Notamacropus eugenii: one gene and its partners. The protein of the gene in region 4 purifies or fractionates together with the protein of the main gene of each other region. This does not show direct contact. Links are inferred from orthologs where the notes say so. Each region holds a gene or a part of one and is shown on either strand. Other genes may lie near its edges.

The links.
Region 1: the proteins of GDI1 (region 4) and RAB35 purify together in Homo sapiens (affinity purification with mass spectrometry; 3 studies listed by BioGRID and IntAct, counting the BioPlex papers as one, with this or other methods). This does not show direct contact. The link is inferred for Notamacropus eugenii from reciprocal best matches to the Homo sapiens genes GDI1 and RAB35.
Region 2: the proteins of GDI1 (region 4) and RAB6A purify together in Homo sapiens (affinity purification with mass spectrometry; 3 studies listed by BioGRID and IntAct, counting the BioPlex papers as one, with this or other methods). This does not show direct contact. The link is inferred for Notamacropus eugenii from reciprocal best matches to the Homo sapiens genes GDI1 and RAB6A.
Region 3: the proteins of GDI1 (region 4) and RAB6B purify together in Homo sapiens (co-immunoprecipitation; 3 studies listed by BioGRID and IntAct, counting the BioPlex papers as one, with this or other methods). This does not show direct contact. The link is inferred for Notamacropus eugenii from reciprocal best matches to the Homo sapiens genes GDI1 and RAB6B.

Annotation. Positions count from the first base shown.
Region 1 is NC_092875.1:25,154,791-25,161,882, reverse strand, and holds the start of RAB35 (ras-related protein Rab-35), read right to left. Parts: upstream 3,012-7,092; 5' UTR 2,877-3,011; coding exon 2,825-2,876; intron 1-2,824. UniProt on the Homo sapiens protein: The small GTPases Rab are key regulators of intracellular membrane trafficking, from the formation of transport vesicles to their fusion with membranes.
Region 2 is NC_092876.1:131,569,937-131,577,082, reverse strand, and holds the start of RAB6A (ras-related protein Rab-6A), read right to left. Parts: upstream 2,879-7,146; 5' UTR 2,693-2,878; coding exon of another isoform or gene 2,248-2,692; coding exon 2,178-2,247; intron 1-2,177. Other genes in the region: uncharacterized protein, read left to right, coding at 2,246-2,692, 2,879-3,421. UniProt on the Homo sapiens protein: The small GTPases Rab are key regulators of intracellular membrane trafficking, from the formation of transport vesicles to their fusion with membranes.
Region 3 is NC_092876.1:334,782,286-334,790,128, reverse strand, and holds the start of RAB6B (ras-related protein Rab-6B), read right to left. Parts: upstream 3,014-7,843; 5' UTR 2,638-3,013; coding exon 2,568-2,637; intron 1-2,567. UniProt on the Homo sapiens protein: The small GTPases Rab are key regulators of intracellular membrane trafficking, from the formation of transport vesicles to their fusion with membranes. Rabs cycle between active GTP-bound and inactive GDP-bound states.
Region 4 is NC_092879.1:9,968,950-9,976,921, reverse strand, and holds the start of GDI1 (rab GDP dissociation inhibitor alpha), read right to left. Parts: upstream 3,007-7,972; 5' UTR 2,904-3,006; coding exon 2,859-2,903; intron 1,761-2,858; coding exon 1,653-1,760; intron 1,492-1,652; coding exon 1,392-1,491; intron 1,236-1,391; coding exon 1,101-1,235; intron 1-1,100. Other genes in the region: ATP6AP1 (V-type proton ATPase subunit S1), read right to left, coding at 5,681-5,890, 7,117-7,348, 7,456-7,503. UniProt on the Homo sapiens protein: Regulates the GDP/GTP exchange reaction of most Rab proteins by inhibiting the dissociation of GDP from them, and the subsequent binding of GTP to them. Promotes the dissociation of GDP-bound Rab proteins from the membrane and inhibits their activation.

The DNA of each region.
Region 1 (7,092 bases), on a different chromosome or scaffold from region 4:
AGCTGACTAATATCACACTGACCCAGCATCCCAAAGGGGTGCTAGCCAGCATAATCAAGGAAGAAAAGAACAACCTCTCAAATGCTACACCCAGAGTACCTGTGGCTCAGCCCTTCGGCCTGAAGCCTAGAGCTTGGTCACTTCCTCGTTGAAATCTCAGATCCTCCCAGACTCGGAGAAGTTTCCTGCTGTGAGCAGCCCTTGCAAGGCTCCTGGGCTGGGTCTCCCAATAGGCTCTGCCCAAGGCCCAGCTGTCTTGTTAGCTTCCTCCCCTCTCCCACAATCTCTAGCTAGCTCATTCAGCAGAAGCTAGGAGGGTCTGACTCTCAGAAAATCCCAGTACTATGGCCAGATCCCAAGCTTTCTTATGATCCCCACACTGCCAAAGCAGAGGCCACAAGCAGAACAAAACCCGAGGCCCCTGGAGTTAATCGTTACTCCTGACACCACACTGGAGACTCGATTAGGAAGGAAAGCACTCTACTGGGAGAGAGAGCTCCTCCTGAACTCCTCAAAGGAAGGCCTCGAGTAAACACCATTTATCCAACAGCTCCCTGCCAAAGGAAGGAAGTGAAGGTACCAATTTACCTTAGCCACAGAGAAAATAAAAGGTCAACAACAGCTGGTGTGAAACCAACTGACCATAGCCCTCACAACTGACATTAGCAGAGCAAGCTTCTGAGACTACACATCTTGGCAGTTGATGCTTTCCTGTGGTTTGAGCAGTTAATCTACACTGCAAATTGAAGGATGGGAGTGGTCAGTGGCCACCATGCCCTGGTAAATCCCAAATGTAGCATTCTTAATTCAGAGTCTAAACTAAGACACCCTCAAAGGAGCAGTACTGCACTTGAGGCATGAAGAGCTTAAGTCTGTGTGGAGGGAATGAGCTCCCTGGTCAGTTAATGCTCCCAGCCCCAACTCTGCAGACAATTTAGGGCCTCTCAGACCAGAATAATGTGTGAAGTTAGGCTACTCACATTCAGCCTCCCCTCCCAAACATGCTCAGGGCTGAGGAGCACCAGAGGCCCCACAACACAAGTCACTACACACAAAGCCAGACCAGAACTTCTCTTACTTCCACTTCCACACACCTTGGCCAGAAAATGTTCATAGACTGTTATATGAGCAAAACTACATAAATCATGACCTAAAGAGGCCTACCACACACCACACACAATGTCAAGAAGTATTGTGGGAAACAAGGTCAAAACTACTTCCTGGACTTTAGAAAGGGGGGGGAATCAGATTTACGAGTCAGCTTTTCATTTTAAGATCTCAAAGTACAACAAGCCTTTCCACTCAAAATCCAGATGTCCTCCTGAGGAACAAGGCCCATAACCACAACAACTGAGTACACTAATTCTTTGGAAAGGGAAATCACCTTCAGTCGTAGAACTCTGCCTTTCCCCATTCCTTTGCCCCATCTGGAACTAAAATATAACCCCTGAAAAGGCATATGGTGCACTGAGTATACAAATAAATTCTAAAGGCCACTCATCTTCAAAAGAAAGGCAGCATAATTATATTCTACTCAGGAAGGAAAAAAGAGAAACCGAGGAAAGGATCCCTCAGCCCCAGCAGCCTCTATCTTTTTAATCCCCTAAACCTCAAAGAGATCTTGCCTTTCACTTTCCAACTGTGCCCATAAAAGCTCACCACTGTTTGACCTATCCAAACCACTGCACCAGCCCATATCCATCCCAACAACCAGGTAGCACTGCTCTCCCGGCTCCCTCCCCACAACAGACTTACTCCCTTGTCCCCTACTGCCTCAGTCTATAACCAATTTTGTTAAATCCTTTCATCCTCCCGGCACCATCCCCAACATAAGCTTTTTATAACACCCAATATGCTCCACTTTCAACCTTGCTTCTGCCACCAATCACATGACAGCCTCTTCCACACTGGGCCCTGACCATCGCCTAGAGCTGCCATGCTCCCAAGCCTCCTCCCCTTTCCTCCTAATCCTCGAACACCTGCCACACTGCCCTCCTCAGCCCTTCTGACCCCGTCACCCCGTGACCCTTTTCACCCTTGGGCTCCCCACCCGAACCACACGAAGGGCCCCTCTGCAGCCCTCAGAGGAACCTGCCCCGCTGAAACAGAAACCCAGCAGGGCTCCATCTCTGCACAAGTGCCCGGGAAAGTGGCTACACTTGGAGCCCGGGGCCTGGGTTCAAATCCCACTCTTGTCACTTGCAAACTGGACAAATCGCTCCTCCCGGCCTCAGTTTCCTGAGTGACTGCATGATCGCTCGGGTCCTTGGTGTGTGGTGCTCAGCCCACCTCCCCTGCTTCCTTTGGGGGAGGGGGGCGAGGAGGGAGGGAGGGAAGGGCGTGGGAAAAGCGCCTTCAGCAAGGTCACAAGTCGGGGACGACCCCCCAGGGCTCTCCTCCCCCCTCCCCATCCACAGCGCCAACACTGGAGCCCCGACAGACACACACACCCCCCTGCTCCCCCCAAATCGTGCCCGATCCTCACCGCGCCCCAATCCCCAATCCCTGCCCGCAGCCTCCCTTTCCGGGCCGGGGTCGCCGCCCCAACGACCCCTGCCCTCTTCCACCCTCCTCTCCGGAAAGGGGTCACGGGCCTCCGCAACCGCTCCCCAACCCGGGGTCACCCGCCCCGCCCCCCAGCCCAGGCCGAGGTCACGGCTTCCCACGGCCTCTGCCCTCCCCTGCGGACGGGGTCACGGGGGCCGGCGCCCCGGCCCCGCTCGGCCGCGCGCCCCTCCCCCGACCGTCCCCTCCCCCGGGCACCGCCCTCCCTCCCTCCCGCCCAGGGGTCCGGGCCCGGCCGCCGCCCTGGCCCCTCGCTCACCGCTGTCGCCGATGATGAGCAGCTTGAAGAGATGGTCGTAGTCCCGGGCCATGGCGGGCGGCGGGCCGGGCCGGGCCAGGCCGGGCGGGCCGGAGAGGAGGGAGGGAGGAAGGGAGGGAGGGAGGGCCGCAGGGCGGGGGCGGGCGGCGGGCGGCGGGCGGGTGGGCCTGGCGAGCCGCGGCAGCTCCGGGCCCCGGCGGATCCACTTCCCGAACAAACAGCCGGAACTGACAGAAACGCCTCCCTCCGCCCCTCGCCCCCCCCGCCCCCACGCCCTCCCTCCTAGCCTCCCGGCTTCCCGCCCCGCCCCGTTCGTCGCCACTGCGCACGCGCCTGCGGCACCGCCCCGCCCTCGCCCACTTCTGCGCACGCGCTCCAGGCACAATCCCGCCCTCACTCGCTTTTGCGCAGGCGCCTGACTTTCCCCCACCCACCCACCCCCACCCTCCTCTCTCGGTCCGTCCGGCTCTGGGCGAACGGACGCCGCCACCGCTGCCGCTAACGCCGCCGCCCCGCCTCCCCCGCTCCCCTCACTCCCTGCGACGGGCTCTGCGCAGCCGCAGCCGCAGCCACCGCCTCTAGGACGGGCTGCTCCGTTACTGCGCATGCGTGACGGGCCCATCGCACCGCCCTCGCGCGGTGCGCAGGCGTGGAGAGGAGGCCTTTCGCGCGCTGCTCTTCCTCCCTTCGGGCTAGTACCCACCTCCGGGCCGAGGCCAGACGCGGTGGCCGCGGGCGGGAAGGGCCGGAGGGCTTCCTCGTGCGCCGATAGCAGGCACCTCTGTAGCTCCTCTCCTCCCTGCAGCGTCCCGGCCACCCCACGAGGTAGGTGCCGCAGTGTCCCCTCTTTGCGGACCCCGAGAGTTTGAGAGGCCGCGGAACCTGGAGTGGGGCCGACCCGTCTGCCGCCGCCCTGGACCGAGGGAGGACTCGAACCCAGCGCTTGCGGCTCCACTTCCTTCCCCTCTCCCCTACCCAGTGTTTCGGAAAGGTGCCGGGTGAGCGGGGGCGAGCCCTGGCTTAGGATCAGCTAGGTAACCTTTATTAAGCGCCTGCTGTATGCAGGAGATGGGACTTTGACTTGGGAGAGCGCCCCTGTCTTCTTTTACTGATTAATTAATAACTGGTTGTTATTGATTATCAGATCTTATTCATTAATTAATGATTGTTAATTACTCAGAAAAAGACGCCGCGGACAGGTCTTTGGCTTAGTAGAGCACCACTGGCTTCTTTTACTAATTACTTAATTAATAACTTATGGATTATCAAATCTTATTAATTAATAAGTGATTGTTAATTAACTAGAAAAAAGAGGCCAAAGACGGTGGGATCTTAGTTCAGAATCAGAGAAAATAGGCTAGAACTGTGAATTCCAGGCCTGCTCTCTGCCCCTGACATGAGTCTGGGCATACCACCAGCTTCAGGGTTGTTACCACCCAGGCCTGAAACTCCCTTTCCCCTGCTCCATGCCTCAGCCAGAGTGGCCTCTCCCGTGGACCATGGCCAGAAGATGCAGGTCCAGCACTGGCCACCCTCCCTCCCTGGGTAACCTCTCATTTGGTCTCTTTTTTACATGCGCATATATACTGCTTGTGACTGCATATATGTGTGTGACTACTTAGATAAGAGTTTCCTCTGCTAGCATAAAAGCACCTAGAGAAGAGAGATTATTTCATTTTCTTTGTTTTCACAGCATTGAGGACACTGCCTGCTTAACAAATTTTGATTGATAAAGGAGAATTGGCACGATTCTCATCCTAAAATAATAACTAGCGTTTATATAGTGCCTACTGTGTGGCAGGCGCAGTGGTAAGCACTTTACAAGTATCTCATTTGATACTCACAAAACCTTGGGGGTTACTGCCCAGGAGTGACCAGGCCCCTCTGTCCCCATAAAGTTTATGTGGCTTTGCCACTCTGAAGCAAATAGTGCTTATCCCCATTTTACAAATGAGGAAACTTAGGCAAACCAGTTGAGTGACTTGCCCAGGATCACACAGCTATTAAGTGTCCAAGGCAGGATTTGAACTCAGGTCTTCCTGACCCCACCCCCAGTACTCTATGCCTGAAACTTCAAAATCTGCTTGAGGCAGTTTTTAGACTTTTTTGTCTCACTTCTCTGGGCCTTATTTTCCTCATCTCTAAGATGGAAGTAATACTTGGCCTACAAAGGTGAGGAAAGATGGGAATTGTCTGTTTTAGAGTGTTTGTAAAGATAAGAGCACTATTCCGTTGTTGATGGAGACGTGAATTAGCGCAACCTTTCTGAAAAGGAAATTGGAATGGTGCAAATAAAGTGACTAAAGCGACTCTGCGTTTTGATACAGAAATTATTGCCTGTTAAAAGACTTCATATTTCATACACCAAAATAGTAACACTTTTAGGGGTAGCAAAGAATTAGAAACAAAGTATATATCCATTTTGTGATGAATAAAAAGTGTGGAAAGATTTACATGAACTGATGCACAGTGAAGTAACCAGAGCTAAGGAAACAATATGCACAATGTCTACAAGGTAAACAAAAATGATACCCACAAAATAGAATTCAATAGAATTGAATATTGCTGAGCTACAAAGAAGCAGCTCAGCCCAAAAGAGGAGATACGAGAAGAAACCTTCCCGCTCTTTTGCTCGGAGGGTGGGGAGGGAAGGTGTCGATAGGTTTGGAACATTAAATATAGTACCATGAATTTTCATGCATTTGTTTTTCACTTTTTAAAAATTCTTTAATGAATGACTCTCTGGGAAGGAGGAGAAATATAGGGAAATCTAGATGATGTAAAAACAAAAGATATAAATAAAAGTCTTTAAAGTAATAATTATACTTGTCTTACTTTCTCTGGGTTATGAGGAAGTTTACAACCTCCAAGAGGGATAGAAACACAAGCCACTGTTATCTGAGAGGTGACATGCCTTGTAAAAAGCAGTGAATTTGGAATCAGGACCTGGCCTCAGTCTTGGCTTTGCTACTCACTCCATAACCTCAAAGGTCCTTTCTAGCACCAGCTCTTTAGTGCTAGGTTACCAGATTTTTTGGTAACCTAAAGGATTTAGGCTTTATATAGCATTTAAACAATGTGAGTACTCACCCCACTAATACGGATTGCAATCATTCTACACTTTAGTAGCCAAACTTTCAGAACCCTAACTCCACCTGATGAGTCTCTCCAGGGTCAGCTGAGCTAGTTTTCAGGCAACAACCATCAGTAGGTATATCTCAGAAGCTTCTGTAGCCTGGTAGGACCTGCTAGAGTTTGTTCTCTCTTGGCAGAGAATGTAGAACCTAAAGCTACCTCCATTCCAGGATAAGCGTCAGAATTCTGAGATGGGACTAAGAGAGAGCACCTAGGTATTCTAGGTTCTTTTAAACCTCCAGGCCAACTAGTTCTGCCCCCTTATTTTACACATGAGAAAACAGACCGAGAAAGGTTAAATTAATTACACAAGTAATAAGGAATTAGAAGTTGGAGGAGGACTTAGTGGGGTGCATATGCACATGTGCAAAGTAGAGTGTGGTAGGAGCAAAGAAGAGATCGGGAAAAGGTAAAGTGCTCCAGAAAATTGGAGAAGGCAAATAACAGGGAAGACGTCAAAGAGCTGAACCTTGAGGAAGGACCAGCGTTCAAAGACACGCCTGTGAGGAGAGAAGGCATCTGGGCCTGCGTAAAAGTTTGTGCAAATGTACAATGGAAAGAAACGTAGTGTAGAGTTTGTAACTGAAAGGAGAGTAATGAGACTGTACTGGAAAGGTAGTTTGGAATCAGATTGTGGAGGGCCTGGAAGGGCAGGCTAATGAGTTGGTATTTTATGGGGGAGAGGAGGAGGCACATCAGGGAACAGGGAGTCATCAAAGGTTTTTGAGCAAGAGAAAGTGATGTAGTCAGACTTATGCATTAGGGAGATTATTTGGCACTTGTATAAAAGCTGGGTTGTAGAAGGAGGAGACAAGGCAGGAAACTGTATCTTGTGCACCCTGTGGCTCATCCTCATCCACAAGTGGTATGACCTTGTGGTTGTAGACAAAATTGTTAAGTCATCCCTCTCTGCCCTTTTCAGAAATTGTCCCCAGCTTTCTGCCCCTTACGTGAGAGGTGCTTCCCCGGTCAGAGCTCCTTCCTTCCCTAAGGAAATACCACTGACCCAGCGCCTTGCCTGACTCATTCTACTTCACCAGAGCCAGACTTCTCTGCCTCTCCTTACTGCCTGAGGTCACTGCTAACTAATAGCTCCTATAAAAATAGAAATAGTGTCATACATCACTTACAGT
Region 2 (7,146 bases), on a different chromosome or scaffold from region 4:
ATATGAAACATAGCACACTCTAGTATAATGTATCAACAGGATAACTAGAAACTGAATTTTGGAATTCTAAGACTTAAAAGTAATTCGTCATCACAAAAATAGTACCATGGATTCAGAAAGCTTTTGCTAACAGAGGAGAAGAAAGCAAATGTGCCTTGAGAACCCAAATTGTTCCTGTTAAATTGAAAACAGCTATAGTTTCACCTCAAAATAACACATAACTTAAAATTTTTTTAAGATAAAAAACATGAGCCTACAAAGAAAAATATGATCAATTTAGACTAAGTTGAAGAATTTAAGGCCCTAAAATATGCAGCGTGAATCAAAATAGCATCATCCCCAAAATTCAAATGAAACCTGCTCATATTTTAATAGTAAAAAAGACAGGTACACTTGAGGCTAAAATTTTCCTTGGAGAGACATAAATTAATGGCTTTTTCAAGCAAACTAAATAGCTTTGCATCACACCAAGAGGCAAGCAATGGCATCCTCAGAGTGCACAAGAGGCACTTTACAGTCTACACATCAATATTTACTTGAGTAGGTTATTTTATACTCATACTAAGCCTAAAAATGCTATAAAATGGCAGGATCAGGAACTTCATACATACTAATACCAGGTAACTCACTGGAAAACAAGTCTAAACTTGCTTCCTGTAAATTTATAAGCCAAACATTTTCTCTGTTCACTACATAAGAACAATTTGCACATAAAGGAAGAAAAAACAGTCTGGACTGGTTTCATAGAATGAGGTACAAAAATTTGACAGATACTATTCAACTGATGCTAATCCATTTGGGGGCTACAGAAGTTTTTGTAGGCGAAAATTATATTTCTGAATTTAGTATTAACATGTTTTTTCTATGGCAAACACTAATTTTCCCAACAACTTGACTCTTAAAGATAAAAATGGGAGAAACTGGTTAATGAAGAAATAGGTGATATATAATCCTTCTTATCTCCCAATAAATAACTAGGTATCAATGCTATAAAACTGACATACAACAAATTGCTACAAATAGTAACCTTAAAGACAACCATTACAAAATTAAAACTTTGTAGCCTAATTCAGAGAACTAACCTAGGCAAATACCAAAAGGGAATCTTATTTGTGGAATTATTAATACTTAAGACTTAAGCCACTTAAAATTTCAGCTAAGTATCACTTCTTAAAATTTAAATAACGAGATCATTGACACTCTTCTTCATCCCTTCCTATCCCCTCAAAAAAGACGTTAGTTAGCTGTTAATTTTTTCCCCAACAGAACTTGTACCAAACCATCTCTCCCAAGAATCCTCAACATATTTATAACTGGAAAACACTCTAATAGAAATAACTGATGATTATCCATGGGTTCCTGTGGGTAGGAGAATCAGACACTAGTTGATGTCGGGAGGAGAGAAAGCGAAAAAGAAAGGTGAGAAATTCCAAGTAAATGGATCATGACAAGGCACCAGGCGGCGATGGGAGAAGGGGGGGGGAAGCAATCAAAACTACCCAAAAATCCTAAGTGAGGAAATGGAAAGTCAAGAGAAGAATTCTGAGATGTTTAGCACGTCGCTGCCTAACCCTTCCACGTCCAAGGGCAGTGCCGCCTACAAAAACCCCGACATCACGGCCGATTCCAGGAGATTTTTGCTCCAACCCCCCGGGGAGAGAGCGATCCAAAGACGTTCCAGCCCCCGCCCCATCCTCAGGCACGGACGACTCGATCCTCAGTTCCAAAGGCCAAAGGAGGGCGAGGGAGGAAGGGGCAACGCCCAGATCCCACCCGATCCCGACCAGCCTCCACCTTCCGCGGGTCGCATAAAGGCGCCGGGCTCCCAGGCCCAAGGGGAGGGCCCAGGGAAATAGAGACAGAGAAGAGACCTAGACTCTGGAACTCCGATAAGGGCCGAGAAAGGAGAGACGGGGAAGGACGGGGCAGGGGTCCGAGGAGGACTGAGTGCGGCACTCGGAGGAAGCGGGGGCGCCCGGGCCTGGCAGCCACCCGCACACAGTAGGGCCTCGGAGTCTGCGCCCGAAGGGGAAGGAGTCGGGGAGCGGAGGGCCGAGGCGGAGCTCAGGCCCGGGAGAAGCCGGGAAGGGAGGAGGGAGAGGCGGGGGGCGGGCAGCAGACGCACGGCCGGAGGCCGCGGGGGCAGCAGCAGCGCAGCCGGAGCGGGGGGCACTCACCGCTCTGCTCCCCCAGGAACACCAGCTTGAATTTCCTCAGGGGGTTCCCGAAGTCCCCTCCGGCAGACATGATGGAGCCGGGGCCGCCGCCTCACCCAGCGATCTCCTTAGGCCCCGCGGGCTCCCCGCAGCCCAGACACGTAGGGCGGAGGAGCGGCAGGAAGCGGGGGGGATCCTGCAAAGATGCGGGTGGAGACGGACGGACCGACCAGGAGATGGGGGTGGGGTCGGAGTCGGCCTCGTACGGCTCGACAGGAGCGGCGGTCGGCGCCGCCCTTCCGCACCACAAGCTACCCGAGGGAGAGGAGCAGAGGGACGGACAGCGCCGCAGCCACTCCTCGCCCCCTTTTCCCAGAGAGCCTGGAGATCCGCCGCCGCAGCCGAACCTGCTCAAGTGCGCGAGCCTCTCCGCTGAGGCGCGCGAGCGCGACAGCGTGACGTGCCGCGTGCGTGCGCGAGCACGGGCGGGGCTGGTGGTCGGGAGCGCGCTTGCTCCCCAGTTTCCCAGGTTCGGCGTTGGCTCCCGGGCCAGCCACCTACGCCGACCCTAAGTGGAAAAGTGGGGAGAATGGGACTGGCGAGGAGAAAGGGAGGAGGAGTGGACGGGCGTGGGGAGGGGGCGGGGCGGAGGGCGGAGGGCGGAGGGAAAGGAGGAGCAAGGGAGGAAGAAGCTGACGCCACACCCAGCGGGCCAATAGAAGGTGACCGAGGTGAATTTGCCCAATGACAGCGCGAAAGGAGAGGGCAGAGGACACACGCAGAGCCAGCGGCTCAGCGCCGGCGGGGGCAGAGGCGGCGGCGCGCGCCAGGGCGGCCATGAAGAGTGTGGCGGGAGGGCGGGGCCTGGCCGAGACCGGCGGGAGGTCCGAACGGTTCCAACGGCGGCGGGGGCGTGCCACCTGTGGACACCCCACCTCCAGCCCCGCTGTCTGGGAGTCGGGCCTCGGATTCCTCGCTCGCCTCCTCCGCCCCCCCCCACCGACCCGCCCATCGTCTGCGCCCAGCCCCCGGAAATAATCCTAATAATGCTGCCATTCAGAAGTTTGCCAACCGCCTTAACACGTGCGTTATCTCAGGTGGACTCCAGCCCCGCCGAGAAGCAGGGCTGCAGCGTCCCTTCCCCCGCCGGTTACCGCCAGAGGCCTAGCCAGGGCCTGGCGCCCGGGGCCACGTGCGCCAGGATCTCCCACTCCCCCCTCCCTCCGCTGCATCGCATGTCTACGCTCTGGCCTCGCAAACGTTAGCGTGACGTCAGTATTCGCCGGTATCACTCTACGTATCCCATTCCCCACACCCTTTCCTTTAGAGTAAATCCCTCGCTCCACCGGGTCTCCCTTTCTACTTGGGCTAGCCAGCCCATTCTGGACCGAGATAGCTACTCCATCCTGTCCTCTGGCTGCCCTTCCCCACAGCGCCCCTAAAATCAGTCCCTCTCCCCATGGGACTCCCCCACCCCATCTTCTCACAAGCCTCTCCTGCCTCTCCGTCTCCTAAACGCTGTAGACCCCCAGTGACTATTTCAGTCTCCAGCCACCTCTTCTGGACTCTTGGTACCCCTCCACTGGTCTCCCTACCACCGGTCCCCTCCTCCAGGTTCCCGACAACTGTCCAAATAATCCGTTTGTACGTAATTGTTTGCACGCTGTCTCTGCCTTTACAGACGGAGTTCCCGGAAAGAGGAGACTGCCTTTTAATGCATCCTCAGTGATGGGGTGATGGGACTTGGACCCCTAAAAGGAACAGACCATGCCCTTGGAAGCAACCCAGTCCCTGAATTTTCCGATACGTTTCAGTAGCCCAGATCACTGGTGCCTACACCAAAGCATCTGGCTCACCCAAGCTCAGCGAGATCACTCAGACTACTCCCTAACACCATCCTTGTCCTTTCACCGTCCTTTTTATCCTAACCATCATTCCCCGCCCACCCCCCATTAAGTTGCAGATTCACTAAGAATCTCACCACCACTTTTGGTGTTACAATAAACCTTGCCATTTTGACTAAAAGATGGTGTGAGTGTGTGATTCTTTCCAGGCAGACACCTCTCTGCACCCTGACATTTCAGGGTTCCCAGCAACCCTAAACCGCATCCCCCAGCACCTAGAGCTGTGCCAACAATATAGTTGTCATTGTTTAGTCCTTTCCAATTCATCGTGACCCCATTTGGGGTTTTCTGGGCAAAGATTATAGAGCAGTTTGCCATTTCCTTCTTCAGCTCATTTTATAGATGAGGAAACTGAGGCCAACAGGCTTAAGTGATTTGCGCAGGATGGCACTGCTAGTAAAGATCTGAGGCCTCAAAGATGAGTCTTCCTGACTCCAGGGCCAATGCTCTATCTGTTTCCCCATATAGCTGCCCCACCAAACATCATCACTTTATTTCTCTGTAATATGAGAGGGTCTAGTTCTGACATTCTTTGTTCTAAAGCTGAGGTGTCGAAACACATAGGTCCTAGGCCACAAGCAGCCTATCACAGTTCCATTAAAATGTAATTGGGAAATACTTAGCAAAATACATAAAAATACAACAAAACAGATGCCATTACATTTTAAAACTTAAGTCAATATAGGACACGTAGAAATCCTCATATATGTATGTGTGCCCCCTGTTTCTATTTAAATTGGATATTACTGAAATAAAGGACTTCCCAGCTCTGACATTCTGTGTTCTAAGGTCTCTCCCAGCTCTGACATTCTATGTTCTAAGCCACCTTTCACTTCTGACATTCTCTGTTTTGAAGTCCCTAACAGCTCTCATACTCAGTGTTCTAAGGTCCCTCCCAACTATGGCTAAGGGTCCTTCCAGGTCTGGCATTCTGTGTTATAAGTGTAACAACAGGGCCAAGCCAAGATGGTTGAGTAACGGCACACACTTTCTAGAGTGCTGCTCCCAAGCCCAGCTAAATACCAGTAAACTGACTCTAAACCAATTCTGGAGCTTCGGAGCCCACAGAATGATGGAATGAAGCAAATCTCCAGCCCAAGACAGCCTGGAAGGTGGCTGAGAAGTGTCTATTGCACCACTCTGGGGGCAGGACGCAGTGCAGTGTGGGCCACGCTGGCACAGACAGGACCTGAGCAGGCCTTGGGGAGACTGAGTCTCTCATATCTGTGACAGTTTCCAGACTTCAAGACCCCAAAATGCCAAGGACAAATTGGAAGTTCAGTGGAAAAAGAGAAAGCCTGTAGGACCAGTGTGGGAGAGTGGAATGATCTGGCCCCAGCCCCAGGGCAGCAGAGAGGGAAGGGGGTGGAGGAACTCCCAGCAGTAGGGGCAGAGACAGCAACTGTTTCTGGAGCTCTAGGCCCACTGACTGTGGGGGAATCGAGCTACTGACAGTACACCCCCCACCCCCACTGGAAGCAGAGATCAACCTTGACAAAAAGCTCAAAAGTCAAATAAATGGCTGGGGAAATGGGCAAAAACTGAAAAAAGAATCAGACTATAGAATCTTACTTTGGTGATAAGGAAGACCAAAACATGCAAACAAAAGACAGTAAAGTCAAAACCCCTCCATCCAAAGCCTCCAAGAAAAATATGAATTGGTCTCAGGCCATGGAAGAGCTCAAAAAGAATTTTGAAAATCAAGTAAGAGAAGTAGAACAAAAATTGGGAAGAGAAATGAGAGTGATGCAAGAAAATTATGAAAAACGAGTCAACCACTTGCTTAAGGAGACCCAAAAAAATGCTGATGAAAATAACACTGTAAAAAATAGACCAACCCAAATGAAAAAAGAGATCCAAAAAGCCAATGAAGAGAAGAATGCCCTATAAAGCAGAATTGTCTAGATGGAAAATGAGGTCCAAAAGCTCACTGAAGAAAATAATTCCTTAAAGATTAGAATGGAGCATATGGAAGCTAATGACTATGAAAAAACAAGAAATTATAAAACAAAACCAGAGGAATGAAAAAATAGCAGACAATGTGAAATATCTCATTGGAAAAACAACTGACCTGGAAAATAGATCCAGGACAGACAATTTAAAAATTATGGGACTACCTGAAAGCCATGATCAGAAAAAAAGCCTAGACATCATCTTTCAAGAAATTATCAAGGAAAACTGCCCTGATATTCTAGAACCAGAGGGTAAAATAAACATTGAAAGAATGCACTGATCGTCTCCTGAAAAAGATCCCAAAAGGAAAACTCTTAGGAATACTGTAGACAAATTCCAGAGCTCCCAGGTCAAAGAGAAAATATTGCAAGCAGCTAGAAAGAAACAATTCAAGTGTTGTGGAAATACAATCAGGATAACAAAAGATCTAGCAGCTTCTACATTAAGGGATCAAAGGACTTGGAATATGATATTCCAGAAGTTAAAGGAACTAGGACTAAAACCAAGAATCACCTACCCAGCAAAACTGAGTATAATACTTCAGGGGAAAAAATGGTTTTTCAATAAAATCAAGGACTTTCAAGCATTCTTGATGAAAATACCAGAGCTGAATAGAAAATTTGATTTTCAAACACAAGAATCAAGAGAAGCATGAAAAGGTAAACAGGAAAGGCAAATCATAAGGGACTTACTATAGTTGAACTGGAGAGATAATATTTGTAAGTCTTGAAACTTTTCTCAGTACTAGGGTAATTGGAGGAATTATATACATATAGACAGAGGGTACAGGTTAAGTTGAATAGGAAGGGATGATATCTAAAAAAATAAAATTAAGGTATGAGAGGAATATATTGGGAGGAGAAAGGGAAAAATAGAATGAGGCAAATTATCTCTCACATAAAAGAAGCAAGAAAAAGCTTTTTCAATGGAAGGGAAGAGAAGGGAGGTGAGAGGGGAAAAAGTGAACCTTATTCTCATCACATTTGACTTAAGGAGGGAGTAACATGCATACTCAATTTGCTATGAAAATCTATCTTATATTACAGGAAAGAAGGGGATAAGCAGGGGTGTAGGAGGGTGGGGGAATGATAGAAGGAAGGGCAAATGGAAGGAGGGCTTAATTAGAAGTAAAT
Region 3 (7,843 bases), on a different chromosome or scaffold from region 4:
TCCAGCATGCATTTTAAACTCTTCAATATTCTATGATCTAAGTAGTTTACAAAGCTTCATCCCACCCTATGGACTAGCGAAATAAGATGAAGATTTTCTTTCAAACTCAGACTAAAACACCTTATCCCTTAGGCTATTTCTGGTGCCCTATGGCTAAATATGGTCATAGAGCCATATTTAGAGATGGAAGGAACCTTAGAGGCTCCTTAGTTTAACTCCTACATTTTACAGATAAGAAAACTGAAGTCCAGGAAGGTTGACTTACCCAAGGTCATAAAAGGTAGTTGGGTAAGGATTTGAACCCACATTCCTTGATTTCAAATATCTCACTCAGGCGGTGCATTGTCTCCCTTATATATATGTCTAACACAAATGGAAATTCCCCTCCCTCCGAAAGCCTAGACCTGGGATCTCAGATGAATAGAGCAGGTCTCAAGCTGGAGAGAACCTATGCATTTACTTCCAGCGAGAGAATAAGAATGCCCAACTCAGTGAAAATGTTGTCTGGGGGATGATGAAAAATTCCACTCACAGAGCTCCTGTCCCTTGGGGCAAGTTAGAAATGTCAAGTTAGGCCCAAGGAGAAAGCACCCAAGTCTAATGAAAGGAAACAGTCTCCTGAGTTTCAGCCCCGTGCCTGTGCTCAGACGTTTAAATGCATCCAGGAGCCAGGGAGGAGAGCAGTCTCTCAGCCCTAAGGCCGCAGATCGCCACACCCACTCTCAGAGCTGTCAATGTGCTTGGTCCCTCACACAGGCACAAGATATCAAACAACGTAGCTATGAAGAAGAAATCTGGATCAGTCTAGAAGGATAAGATGTTGAGTTCTGGGAGAGGCTGGGCATGAGAGACACACCTTTCACATAGTTCATGGATGCTCTTAGCTGAAAGGGGATCACAGGCCCTATCTTGGCCAGGAGTGTGACCTATTCCATGTAAATGCAGATACACCTCCTTTCTCAGATTGAGGAACCACATTGAAAACCAAACTAAACACTCATCCTACCCATAGCTCCACTTCAGTAAGTATCATCAAAGATCAGAGATGGAAGGAAACCTAGAAGGAAAAACTAGCTTAACCTCTGAAATTTACAGATGAGGAAAGAGGCCCAGAAGGGTTAAGTTACCCAAGGTCACACAGCTAGTAGGGCCTAGGACTAGAACCTAAGGGCCCCCCGAAATCTCAGGTCAGTGCTCTTTCTACACATTCCTCTCCTACCCCTACCCCCACTACCTCTTGCTCCCTTTCTCTTGGCCTGTGACTTCTGAAACCTCCCTGGTCATTCTCCACCAGAAAATTGCCTCTTAGAGACCAAGAGCCAAATAGAGGGGCAGCCCCTCCTGTGGCATAGCAGGAAAGAGAAGCAGCAGGTTCCGCCCGTCATCCCTAGTCAGGTCTGGTAGACTGGCTGCTTCCTTCTCCTTCTCCCTCTTCCTCCCTGCCCCCTCCCCTGGAGATTTTTTTTTCTCTGTTATTTATGATGAGAGATGGCAGGAAAGAATGACACGTTCACACACTTGGTGGAAGGACCAGGGTGTGTCTCTTCTCTCCTTTCTTTGCAGAACCAAAGCGGCACAAACCTCTTGGGAGTAGTCTGACTTTCTCCACCTGATGTCCCCCCACCCCCCCAAAAAAATCCCTCTCCTCCTCCAGTCTTCCTCGGGGCACCTCTAGCGAGAAGCCTGAGAGGTAAGAAACAATCAGTCTCACCGTCATCACCTGAGGACCCCCTCCCTAGCAAATAAACACAAGACTAGAAGAGATGGCCAATACTAGAATCTTCTATGCCCAGTTTGAGGTGAGAGGCAAGGCATTAATATTGAAGCTACTTCCTCGAACCCCAGTCTCTCCAATCTTCCTGGAAGAGCAGAAGCATTAGCAAGTTTCGTGGCCCCCCCTTTTCTTTCCCTGAAACCAATTTTGACTTGGGGGGGGGGTGTTCATATTCTTCTTCTGCCTTCTGCAGCTTTCTCCCATGCCCAGAAGCAGCCACGCTTGAGATCCCGGCGGTGCCACTCGCACACTGCCCACCGTTCCACGTAGGGGCACAGTTCCAACCATCTAAGTCTCCAACACGCCGCCCTCCCCCACCTTCCCCCCAAAGCAGACGGGGTGCACCCCAGAGCCCAAGTCCTGGTGTAGGAATAAAAGGCAATCGGGCTGCCTGCCCCAAGCCCACTCCCTCCCCGGTCCGAGCAGAGCCCACCCAGTATTGCGTGCAGCACTAGCTGCCGCACTATGCAAAGCGATCGCCAGATCCGGAGCCCATTTCCAGACTCCAGCCTCAATCAGTCGCCCGGCTGAAGCATCTTCCTGCCCTCCCTCCGTCTGCCCCCACCTCCACGGCCACCCTGGTGCCCAGGGGCCACTCTAAGTGTTTTATTTCCTTTGTGTGTGGGCGGGGGGGGGGGCAGGGTAAGGTGTGGGGTGGGGATGGGGGGGGCGAGGATGAAGGGAAGGTGTGCACTACAACTGCAGGGAGGTTGAGGGATGGAAGGGAGTGGGAGAGAATCCAAAGTGGCACCAGACTTAGCCTCCAACCCTGGCAAATAAACCAGCTACTCACCGCTTTGCTCCCCCAGGAAGACCAATTTGAATTTTCTCAATGGGTTCCCAAAATCTCCTCCTGCGGACATGGTGTTGGCTCTGGGGTGTGGGAAAAGGAGGAGAAGGAGTAGGAGCGAGAGGAGGAATAGAGAGGGGAGGACTGTGAAGAGGAGGAAAGGGATGAGGAGGAGGAGGGAAGAGAGGCAGGCTACGATCCAGAAGGGGGAAGGGCTGGATGCAAGCGTCGCCGGCTCTGCAGCTTCCCCCGGTCCCCTGACTCGGGCTGCGCTGCGGAGGAAGGGGTGGAGGAGAATGCGGAGGACGACTCAGGATGCCGCCCGCGCGGGCTGCAGAGCTGGAGGGAGGGCGCGAGGTGTCGGAGCGCCGACCGTCTGAGCACAGGGCTGGGGATGCTGAGGCGGTGTGATCTCGGCGAGCCGGGGGCTGGAGCTTCTCCCCTCCCCACCTCCAGCGCCTGCGCCCTGTCGGCTCTCTCCCATCCTCTCTGATGTCATGCAGGACCGACAAGCCAATGCAGTGCTGCAGGGAGGCTTTGCCTAATGCATCTGAAAGGAGCGGGGGATGGCTGGGGTCACTGTCTCACCAGCCGCCCCTGCTGCCGCCCCTGCTAGAGGAGGCAACGCGCCCTGGACGACGGGGCGAGCAGAGTGCCCTGATCCTTCACCCCTTACCGCCTCGCTCCCACCCTCCCCCTTTGAGCCCAGAAAGGGCTAAGAGAGTGGGACAGAGATATTTATTTCCTACAATGTCAAGCTAAATCTATCTGCATTACTCCAGATCAAAGGGGAAGAAGCCCATGAATTAAACACCAATATACACCACAGCTGAGTCCATCTAGGAGAGAAAATGGAGTGAGAGAGAGAGAGAGAGAGAGAGAGAGAGAGAGAGAGAGAGAGAGAGAGAGAGAGAGAGAGAGAGAGACTGAAGGGGAGAGGTTATTCCTTCCACTCTAGACATCTCCAGCCTCCACCCTTTTCTCCACACAATGCTGAGGAAAGATAAGGTCACTAGTTAGAAGTATGCTGCACAACAGCTCCAAAACCAGAAGCAATTTTTAAAATCTAAATCTCATATAATCACTTGGAAACATGAAAAGTAGGGGATGGAGAGGGAGTGATTGCTAAAAGGTAGATAAATCCAAGAGTACTCAACTCCACCACCTGACGATGTGGCTCACACAAAATTCTACCATCTTTCAGAAAATAATTTGCGTTGGAGTTCTTGAATCTCAGAGTCCAGGGTCTGAGAGCTCCAAAGATGATCTAGTCCTCTTTCTCTTACTGCCAGACAAGAATGTTCCTAACCCTGCCTAGAGAGAAGAAATGGTGTTTGTCTTTCAAGGTCCCCAGTGGAGATTAAAATGGCTTCTTCGATTGTCCGTTCTAGTGACTGATGGGCCATCATTCCCCAGAAGATACTTCCCCCTATGACCTGAATATCTCCTCACCACCCAGTTCTTGGACGTCCTGCTTTCTCTGGAGCATGAAGCTTCCAGCAAAACAATCCAGGTTTGGGCTGACGGAATTAACAAAAGGAAGAGGAGACTCCTCTGGCAGAATTTTCTCCCATCTTAGAGTGCTTGGCCTGTTCTTTCTCAGCGTTCTTTCCAGAATATAACATAGAGATCAGTGAGCTAGAGAAAGGTCATTGAGAACAATCTTTCATCAGCTCACTGTGAGGTACCAAGCAACATCCAAGATGGACTTGAGAACAGTGCCCTGACAAGTGTTGGCTTTGATGAAATAACATTGCCACCCATCTCCCTCCTCCTGAGTCCTGTGCTTAGTGCCTCCTCAAAAGTACACAATGCTTTCAATAGTGTCCCTAGACCCTCTTATTGCCGAAGAAACACTTTTATATTTCAGTGGATCTGTGATGTCATCAATATAGGCATTCCCTCTGTCACAGCAGGTCTCTCACCTTCTGTGCCTTCTCACCTTGATACAGTTCTAGTCCATTTCTCCCAAAGATTCTCCTAAAAGAATTCCCTTAATGTGCTGTAGGTCTTCATGTGTTTTGAACCTGCTTTGTGTTACAGAATTCTTGGGCAGTCTGGTAAAGCATATCCCTTCTCAGAATGAGATGTTTTTAAATGCATAAAATAAAATGCATAGGATTACCAAGAAAACCAATTCTATGGAAATATAGTTATCAAAATGTTTTCAAAAATTAAGTTTGTGGACATTCAGGTTAAGAACTGCTCTAGACTTTTTTTTTTCACATTTCTTGGGTAACAATGGAGAACTGTTCATCTGTTGTATGCCACACATGAACATCCTGCCTTCTTGTCTGATCACACATTTTTCCAATAATATCCCTCATGGCACTTGAACAGAGATTGTCTTTGGAAATAGGTTTCAACCCACTTGCATACACCAAGCAGCTCTCTAGCTCTATAGTGAAATGAAATTTTGATTCTTTGGAGTTCATGCTGGTCCAATATTGGCAATCATGTACTATCGCCAACAGACCGTGTAGTTTGCTTGTTTATTCTATAATGATTGCTCTTTGTGTCAGGAAGCAGCTTGGATTGTTAATAGCTCTGTTCTGTTCATTTTTCACTCACTAAACTTTGTCAGCAATCATTTATTAAGAACCTACTATGTGCCGGAGAGTGTTTTAAGCACTAGACTCATTTAGTTTAAGGCTAATATCCTTTGAATACATTTTGAGAAAGCCCCTCTGATGATCTGAAGCTTGATATCATCTGCAAACAGAAGTGTCTGGAGGAATTCGCTGTCCACATGGAATCCCTCTTCTGTTTGGACATAGAGCTAAGTATTGCCTGTGACAGTGGTGAGAAACTGGTGAGTATACATTTTCCTGTGCTATGCCTCTCTTGACATACAAGAGAGTTAGGGAACAAAGTTATGTCTGTGGTGGCATTTATGAAGGAATCTTTTATGACCATAATATACACATGAGAGATTTTTGGTTGAAGGAAATTCTTTAAGGCTAAGTTTTGCTCTAGTATAGAGCAATTTTTATTGTAACCAACGAACAATAAACGTAGCAGAACCTTGTATATTTTGACCCTTTCTGTCACTTATGCTACTGTAACGTGTTCTCTTGCAGACTACCATTTGTGAAAGGCTGACTGTTCCTCTTGCATATTTTCATCAAGAATAACCTTGATATATGGTCCTCATTCTCATAAACATTTTATAAAGATGAGAAAGTAAGAATATAGGTCAGGAGTTATTGATGTTTTTTCATTCACCTATTTTGGAGAAATAATAATGTCCATGACTTTTATTCCCATTCTTTTGGTATCTTCTCCTCCCTGAGATATCTTATAAAACAATTTCTTATTGCTGTCAAGATTCTATTACTTCCAGCATGAATTTGTTTTGTGTGTACTTCTTCTGGCCTAGTTGATCTTTTCAACTTTATTTTCTAAAGTGCAATTTCAACTTTTTATATATTGTACCAGGCACCAAGATGATAGGGAACAAATATGGTGATTCTCTGTCATTGATGAAAAAGATGGTGTTATAGAAACATTGGCAGATTTCTTCCATTTTCTATTGGTTTAATATTCTCCTAATTTCATCTATCAATGCTGTTGGGATGATGTGGTTCACTTGGGTCTCACATCAGGCTTTCTAATAGAGAATAATTTTCACTTTCATGGCTTTTCTTTGCTTTATGAGGGGGGAAAACATCAATAAAAGATTTGAGAATTATGATACACACCATGACTTGAAAGTTGGAGCAGTATGCTTCCCATCTTCTGTCAAGAAGGTGGTGGACTATAAGTATAGAAAAAGGCATATATTTTTCAGACATTGCCATTGTGTTAATTACTTTTGTTTAATTAAATTTTTGTTACAAGAGATGATTCTAATGGGGGGGGCATGTTGTATGAGGGAGTAATAATTGGGAAGTCACAGTAATGAAAGAAAAAGGAGCATGAGTAAAGTATTTCTTTTTTAAAAGAAGCATAAGGAATGTCATCAAGGAGAAATATCTATAAAAGAAGCCATGCTGGTCATGTTGTTCTAGTTCAGGATAATAGATAGATCATCTGAGTTCTATATTGTACCATCTAAATGTAGAAAGACTTACAGGATGTGTTCAGCATATTGACAGGAATCTCTGAGGAAGGATCATGGAAGAATGTGGATAAGAATTCCACAGGACCAGAAGTCACAGATGTTTTGTGGTCTGTACCACAGATCCAATACCAATACTTCCATCAATGAGATATTTCTATTGAATTATTGAAGAAGGTGTCAATGATTTCATAGGTTATCCTGCTTCTAGAGGAATTATTTTTTTTAAAGAGGAAGACAGATTGACCCAAACGAACACATATGTAATGGTAGAATTTCAGCAACCAGGTGGGAGAACTGTTTAGAGGTAAAGAAGGGGAGAGAACTTTTCAGCAAACCAAAATCACAATACCTACTCTTCAAGTTGATTCTTTATCTTCACTTGCATCAAATACTGTGTTCAGTTCTAGGTACTATTTTAGGATAATAATAAGTTGGAATAAATCCAGGAGAGGATAGATTGATAGACAGATAGGTAGATAGGTGATAGATAGATAGATAGATAGATAGATAGATAGATAGATAGATAGACATAGAGATCTCCTTCCTCTCACTGAGCAATTAAAAAATTAAATATAATACTCTTAGAACAAATGCATAATATATTCCAACAAAAGAAACTCCCACATTATTCATGTCAAAAATGTCTTACCTACATTTTAAGTCCATCACCTCTCTGGCAGGAGACGAATGGCATCTTTCATCTTTAGCCCTTTGAACCTGTGGTTTCTCTTTGCATTGATTAGGGTTCTAAAGTCTTTCACAATTGTTTTTCTCTATAATGTGTGATTATGTTCTATTTATGTTCATTTCTTTCTTCATCATTTTGTACAAGTCGTCCTAGGTTCCTCTGAAACTCTCATCCATCATTTCTTATATTACAGTAGTATCCTAACATATTCATATTTTGCTTAGCCATTCCCCAGTTGATGGGAACCTTCTTATTTTCCAGTTCTTCGCCATGAGAAGGGTTGCTATAAATATCTTTATACATATAAGATCTTTTCTTCTTGCTTTAATTTCCTTAGGGTATAGCCCAGTAGTCACATAGCTAGGTCAAAGGATATGGCCGGCTTAATATCTTTATGGGCATAACTCCAAATTGCTTCCAGAATGGCTGGGTCAATTCACAGCTTCAGTAACAGTGCATCAGTGTGCCTGTCTTCTTGCGGCCCATCCAACATTTGTCATTTTCTTCATGTGTCACCTTTGCCCTCTG
Region 4 (7,972 bases):
CAACACTGCTAAAAAGCAGAAGGCTCCAGGGCCAGTCTTATTCTGCTAGTCACTGTGTGATTTCCAGGCCTTAGTTTCCTAATTTATAACTCCTCCCCTTCCCCACTACCATGGGAGGTAGTCTACTCAACACTGCAGTGAGTCCTAATGTTGGGCACAGCTGACCTGACTAGGGATCAAAGGAGAGAGTGCCTTACAAACACCTAGTACTTCTATGACAAACTGAGTCCCTGCCTTGAACCTTATATATGCTGGGTCAGGGACCTGTATTGATAATTAAATCAACTCTAACCCTATCTCTCTCTTCCCCTCTTTCATCACGACCTCTGGAACCCTCAATTCCACTGTTAACAAACTATTAGACCTCTGTCCCCCCTCCCCGGAATTACTTGGTCATTTCTGTTTCTGTCTAGGGCACCCCTATCCTCTTCAAAGTCTTCAAAGACACTATGATCTCCAATTCTCACTCTTCATTACCTCACAAAGCCAATCACTGGCCTAAACTTGCTGTTTCTAGCCCTATAACCCTCTCACGTCTAGGCCCTCATCACCTCATCTAGATGATAGCCTCCTACTCAGTCTCTTGGCCAAGATAATCTTAATTAAGCAAGGTCTGACCATATCATTCCCCTGCCGAACTGCAATGGCTTCCCCGTTGCCTCTAGAATACAAGTTTGGCTTTCAAGTCCTATATGGCTTGGCCCCAGTTTACCTCATCAATCAACTAACAATGCTGAGAACTCCAAACTGGTCTCCTCACGGCCATCTTTTGTATCCTTGTGCCTTTACACACATATAACCTTTCCTGATCCCTCCCAAATTCTAAGGGCTAGCCTTCTGCCCTAAATTCCCTTGTATTTATTCTGTATACAGTGTGCTTCTGATACTGCTGGCTTAACGGCCCAGGAAAGCATTCACATCTAAACCTGAGTTGTGTCAATGGGCAAGCTCTGCCTATGACTCCCTAATATGCCCCTGGCTTCTCCCCAGTGTCCTGGACAATTCACTTTCCCCACCAGTATCATGAAACCAGTCTCAGAGGTGTGACGCTCTCTCCTTCAGTCCTGATAACTGGAATAAAAAACGATGGTGACACTCACTGGAGGCCAAGGCCTCAGTCTCAGTAGATGGCACCTTGTAGATCTTGCCCCCCTTGTAGACAAAGCTGCCTTCCACCACTTTGAAGTCTAGGTAACGAGTCACTTCGGTGTACAGCAACATCTTCACCAACTGGCCTGTGGGTAGTATGGGGAGAGGAAGAGAGACATCTCCATATGTATAACCCTTTCCCATTCACTTGATGGTCCTCAAGCCCTTTCCCCAAATTCTGCCCCCCCCCCCCCCCACATCCTACCTATATCACCTACCACCAGCTATATCCTCCCACTCACCATTGGCCATGAGGAATTTGGGGATCAAGTCAACATTCCAGTCTCGACCCCTGCCCAAGCTTTCAGGAGGTCCTTCAGGCAGGTCAAACCGTTTGAACAGCTACAAGCAGGGAGAGACAGAGAAGAGGAAAAGGGAGGATTCAATCAATGTTGACCTCACCTCCAAAACCTGCCTGTAGAGACTTCCAAGAGCTGATCAGGCGTGGAAGTCAGACTATAAAGGACAATGGAGCCTGGGAAAAATGGAGCAGGTCACCTCACCTCTTCCAGGGGTGTGATAGAGGAGCTTTCACCCCCATAGTAAGGATTGCGATCCATGTGCAACACTTTCTTCCCGTTCACAGACATGATGCCAGAGAGAATACATTCCTGGAGGGGAAGACCGGCAAGGAAGACAGGAAAAAGAATGTGAATAGACCCTCTCCCCAAACCAGAATAGAAATCTCAGCAGATTCCTTTACCTTAAGACTGAAGGGGAGGAGAGGCGGAAGAGAGCCCCTCCCCTTCTCCCAACCAGACACACAAAAGGTTGGAGAGGTAGGTTTCCATCCTTCTGCTAAACTCTTCATGGCGCAGCTATTAAGGGGAAGGCCATTTGGGCTCCAAAGTGAAGGCAAGCAGTGGAGAAACAACTCCCCCTTTTCCTGACCCTGACATCCTATTCCAGGAAGCAATAAGAATGTCGACAAACACAGCTACACAGAGCACAGGTGCAATTGGAAGCAGAGAAACGCCGTATCGCAAGGGCCCTACCCTAGGCCTTCTCTTCCTGGTCTTGAGGCACACGGAGAACTCCATTTCTCCCACTCTCAAGTAATCTCCCACAAGATCAGCGCATCTTTATGTGGTAGGGACACAGCAACCCTGCCCATGCCTTCAGGCCACCATCTTGTATGTGACTAGATCTAGAGCTGGGAGGTACTAATTTTACAGATGGGGAAAATACCGAAGAAGGAGGAAAATAATGAATAGAAGGCCGAGGAAAATGACTAACCAGGGTCACACAACTATTACACGTCAGATGCGTTTATCCATTACAGGGTTAATGAGCACACCATGCCTGTCCTGTCTCTCACCCCCACCCAGAGGAAGGGAAAGGATTATTTCAGTCCCCTATCCTGTGGTTAGGATACTACCGTCCAGAGGGTTTGATATACCCTTATCATCTTGGGGATTGTGGTGATGGGGTATGGATACTCTGTGGTCCTGTGGGTAGGGCTCCAAGAAAACGGGGAGGACTATCTGTGAATCTTAGGGTTGGCGTTAAAGAGGGTAGCCCTGATTGGGAGGAGACTGAAAGGAAGGCATATTGGGATCCCACGCCACTGGGGCCACACACAGAGGGGAAGAAAGGTCATGATGGGGATGGGTTGAAAAGGTGGGGGGAGGGGAAGAAGGGGGGAACCTTTTAGGTTGGGGGGGCGGGGTGCTGCATTCTCGTCGGGGTTCCTGTCGGTCCCTACTCACCGTGAGGCCCGTGCCCAGCACGATCACGTCGTACTCCTCGTCCATGGTTCTGCTCGAAGGCCTCGGCTGGTCTCCGCTTTCCGGCTTCGCCGACGCCGCTGCTGCCGCTGCTGCTGCTGCTGCCACCGCCGCCGCTGAAATGGACCAAAGATGGCGGACTCAGCACCGCCTTTCCTCCAGCTCCCTCCGCTGTGCCAAAGAGTCCCGACTCTTCCGCGCTGCCGACGCCGCCCTGTCACCCCGTGGACCACGCCCGACTACGAACGTGGCCGAGAGACTTGCAGAATGCTGGGGCAAGGGGCTACGATGTGCCTGCCTCGACTGTGGGAATTCCTTCATTGAGAGGGAGGGGGAGGGGAGGGACAGAGGCCCGTGAGGAGACCAAGAGAGGGATCCATCCGCACCCCTTCCCGCATCTTCTGCCCGCATCTTCCTACCCACGGAGATGCTGTGGGGAGGGGCTGTCCCCAGGAGGGAGAACCCGAGAGAAGGAACTGCGCTGGGGAGGGGGGGAGGGGGGGAGATGAAAATGAGGGAACGCCTCGGGGGAGAAGACCCCGCCTCTAACAGGCTGTCAAGAGTAGGGTCAAGGAAAGCGCCCTTGTCCCCATCACAGCATGCAGATGGGGGGCGCGAATCTCTTGGGGGCGCAGGTGCCAGGCGGGGGAGGGGAGGCTGCTCCAGGCCTGGGTGGGGCATATTCACAGAAGCCTCAGTCTTCTGCAGGAGAGGTTATAGCCGCTATCTCCAGCACCCCGCACCCTCCTCCCATGACTCAGCTTTGTCTTTTCCCATCCTGTCCCCTCAAATCCCTAAGGGGCAAATCTAGGCTGCAGACCTACCAGCCAAAGGGAGCTTTGAAGGGCCAAGAAATTCTCCTTTCAGCCTCCCTAACACCCCCAATCTTCATGCCCAAACCCCATCAATGAACTATTTGCCCTGCCTCTCTTCCCAGGAATGGGAGAGGTGGCACAGGTTCTCTATCTTTGCATCTGGAATCCTCGGAATCATGGTTTGAAATGCACAAAATATTACAAAAGAAACCCATTATAGCTAATAAATATAATTGTTTTTATCCCATCCAATTTTAAAAGGCTTCCAGAATTGTATCAATGACCCCAGGTGAAGAACCCTTGTTTTGCCTCCACTCCTGTAACCTGTGGGCAACTAAGTGGTGCAATGGATAGAGCACTGAGCTTGGAAACAGAAATATATCTTCCTGATGTCAAATCCAGTCTCAGATACTGGTGGTGTGACCCTGGGCAAGTCACTGTTTGCTTCAGTTCTTCATCTATACAATGAGCTGGAGAAGGAAATGGCAAACCAATCCAATATCTTTGCCAAGAAAACCCCAAATGGGATGGTGAAAAGTCAGACACTGAACAACAAGGGATAACACACTGGTGACTTCCTCAGCAATGCCTAGGCCAAATGATCTGTCCTCTTGAAGCAAAGCTGTCATGGAGGCTTAGTTAACATGTTATTTCAATTTCTTTTCACATCCAATTTTAGCCCCACCAAAAAACTAGAAGACAAAATAATCAAGTTTCAAGCCCACACCCTCTCCCCACCATGAGTTCCCTTCTTTGTTTGTCCTTCGTTCTCAAAGGGGACCATGACATCAGGAAGGTGATGTCATGACTTGGATTTAAGTGTGGGAGGGCTGTACAAAGTCACTAGCCTCAATCTCCTCCATAGCCATCTGGGTAGAGTGGCAAGGTATAAATCAGGGCTGGAGACACAGTGGGAGACTTTGGCCTTTTGAAGCTAAGGCCTTTCCCAGGTCGAAGTTTGACTGAGGTAACACTCATTTAGTGATTAAGGCTAGGTAACAAATGAGGCCAAGAATGGCCTCTTTCACTTAGTCAAAACCAAACCAAACCAAAAATCACTCAGGGAAGGGAAGAGCTTCACGGTTTCTGGCCAAAACAGAAACAATTACTATATACACTGCATCAAAGCCCAATGACCAAAAGAGGCTTGGGCTGGGACCTATTGTTGGCCAATTAATGAGAACCAAAGTGATTTGGGTTTAAGGTATGGTCCATAAAAAAAGAAATCTAGCCCACAAACCCCAAGGTATCTTGCTAGTTTCAGCTATCAAAATTTATATTCCTTTGGGCAGAGTACCTGCAGAAAAGGCTGATACCCTATGTGGATAGAGGGAGAGGAGGAAGAAATCCACACATAACCACTGGTGAACTCCCTGATCTCTGTCCTTTTAAAGCAAAGCCCTGCTTAATACAAAATGACCACACTGTCTTGGAGGCTTAGTTAAAATTTTATTTCAATTTCTTATCACATCCAACTTTAGCATCACCAAAAAAGAAAAAGACAAAACAAGAAGCAAACAAGACAATGTAACAAGTCTCAAGTTCACACCCCCACCCCACTTGGAGTTACCTTCCAACCTCCGGACTACATTTTGACTAATCCCCAGAATACATCTCACACAATGAAGCAGCTAGACCTGAGGGCAGGGATTTAGGGAGAATAAATAAGGATTGGAAGCCAGCAGGAAGGAAAGTGGCCTGGATACTCCTTCCCCACCCCCCCACCCCCTCCATTGGTGCACTGCCTACAAGGTTTTCACTGAGGGTATTTGTCAGAGGCAGACACTTTTTTGTTTCCACGGACAGGGTAGGGTAACCACAGGTTCTGGGATAATTGGGGGTGGAGCAAGAGGAAATAGGGGTAGGGAGGCCTAGCTACTAAGGAAGCACAAATGAGTAGTAGCCTGGCAGCCCTTCCAAGGGGAGGAGGCAAAGTCAACACAAAACTCCACCTCCAACCCTTCTGGCCCCCCCATGTGACTAAAGGGGTCACTCCATCAGGGGCACAGAGAGAGTGCTCCCCTTGTGATCATCAAAGCGATCCATGGTCTTGAGGTTGAGGATCATGTGCAGACCGTAGGTGAAGATGAAAAGCATGATGAGAGAGGAGACTAGCCCCATCCAGATGCCAGGGGAGAAGAAGCTGGCACAGTCACTGGCATAGGAGAAGTTTCCACCAGATAAGTTAAAGGCCTGAATCTGAAAAGGAAGAAAGAAAATTAAGACAAGAAACCAAACACTGGTTTGGTCTGGTCTATGAAATCCAAAAGGAATTGTGCAGGGGAAATCGCCCTCTCCTCTCCTATCCCACCCACCAGAGCCAGGGTCCAGCAGAATGTTTCTGGAGTAGGTAGGAAGGTGGGTAGACCCAAGAACTGGAGAGGTTTTTAATATCCCTGAGTATCTTAATTAGGCTATTTGATGGATAGTCAGGAAGAAACGTATGAACACTCCTTGCTCAGCTAAATTCTGTCCCACTGTGGCCATCATTTACCAATCTGTCTCTCTTTGAGGTTCTCCATGAAGCTACACCACCCTAACTCTATACCTCCCTCTTCTTTCCTAGAGTTCAGCCTTCCTCTCCACCCTAAACTCTGATTTTATAAGCTTAAAGTCTTCATGCGACATTAGCTTCCGTGATAACTTGTACTACACACACACCTCTCTCTCTCATTCCTAAATGTTCTATTTAATGATCTAGGACTCAAATTCCTCTCAGCCTACAAGCTCCTCTTCTTGTACCTTACTTACAACCCCTCCCTTTATCTAGCCTTCATCTTCAACTTGATTTCAGGGCATTCCATTTCTTCCGGCTTTCTCACCGCATCACCATCTACCTCTGTTCTGGTCTCACCTTCTTCCCTCATTTATTCAATTTAACTGTGTTCCTCTCTGCCCTCAAATCTCTTACCCCTTCCTTGTCCTATCACTATCATGACTTTCCAAATTCCAACCCTAGATTAATCTCACTCTTCCATCCCACCCCCATCTACTCTCTCCAATCCTAACAGGGCTGAGTTTACTTCAGTTTCACGTTCTTGAATTTCAGTTGAGTTCTCCCTACCAAACAGCACTCCTTTGATTCTCCCTAAACTGACTCACTTCCACCATTTTCTCCATCTTTCATCCCTTAGCAGAGCACCTCATGCATCATTTTTAAAGTGAAAATCGATGCCATCCATTGTGAACTTCCTTATACTCCTTAATTCCACACATACTCAAATCCCCTCATCACCCTCCCTAATCTCCCTCCCCTTGGCCCAGTCTGTGATGAAAACACGGCCCTTCTCACCAAAGCCAATCCTTCTATTTGTGCCCTTGATTCCTTCCCCTCTGGGGGCTTTCTTCAACTGGGAATGTTAGTAATTCCTCCCTCACCGAAACAGAACATGTACTCCCCACCTCCTGTGCTCCTTTCATCCTACCTGGAAATTCTGGAAAGTCACATGCCAGGCAGAGGAACCAGGTGAAGATATTAGGAGACCTGCTTTTGAACGTTCAGTGCTAACATACTGGCAGTGAAAGGAATAGATGCTAGGTGCTGTGACATGTGAGGAATTGAAGACCACAACCGAGTTGTTGTTGTGGATCTCTAGTCGATCCATGATGAACCAGCTTCGGGCTGAAACAGGGTAGAAATGGCTGCTCAGAATAAACCTGGGAGAGAAAGTCAGATGATCAGTGGAAACTCCAAAGACTGCCCAAAGCTTTCTTCACCAACCCCTTTAACCTCCTCCCCACCCCCCTGCCACCCCAGCACTTACTTGATTGTCAGAAGTGGGCCAAAGAGGTTTTCATATGTCAGCGCAAGCCTAGGAAAACAGAGGAAAGAAAGGGCTGCTCAGCTTTACCATCCTTGGTTGTCAAAGGGAATCTCTACCACATAGACTATTCCCAAAGTGCTCAGTGCCACTGAGATTGAAGGTTTCCTATGGTTCTCAATGTGTAGGCAAGAATTTAATCAAGCTCACTCACACACACAAGCTGAGAATGGAGCTGAAGCTTGGACCCAGGCTTCAAAACTCCCAAGTCATAGTTCTAACTCCCACTGGCCCCACCCTCTTGTTCAAAGAATATGTGTGAAGACAGTGGCCACTTAGGGCCTAGAAGAGGAGTCCCCAATAAAGCCCTTAAAAAAGGGAACAATGATAAAAGAAAATACACAAAAATCTATATACTCCCTCCATCCAGGATAGATTGAAAGCACAGCATATAAATAAGTAGCGTGGACCAAGAGAAGAAAGAGCGGGGCTATCTGGGAAGCAAAGCACCAGGTATCAA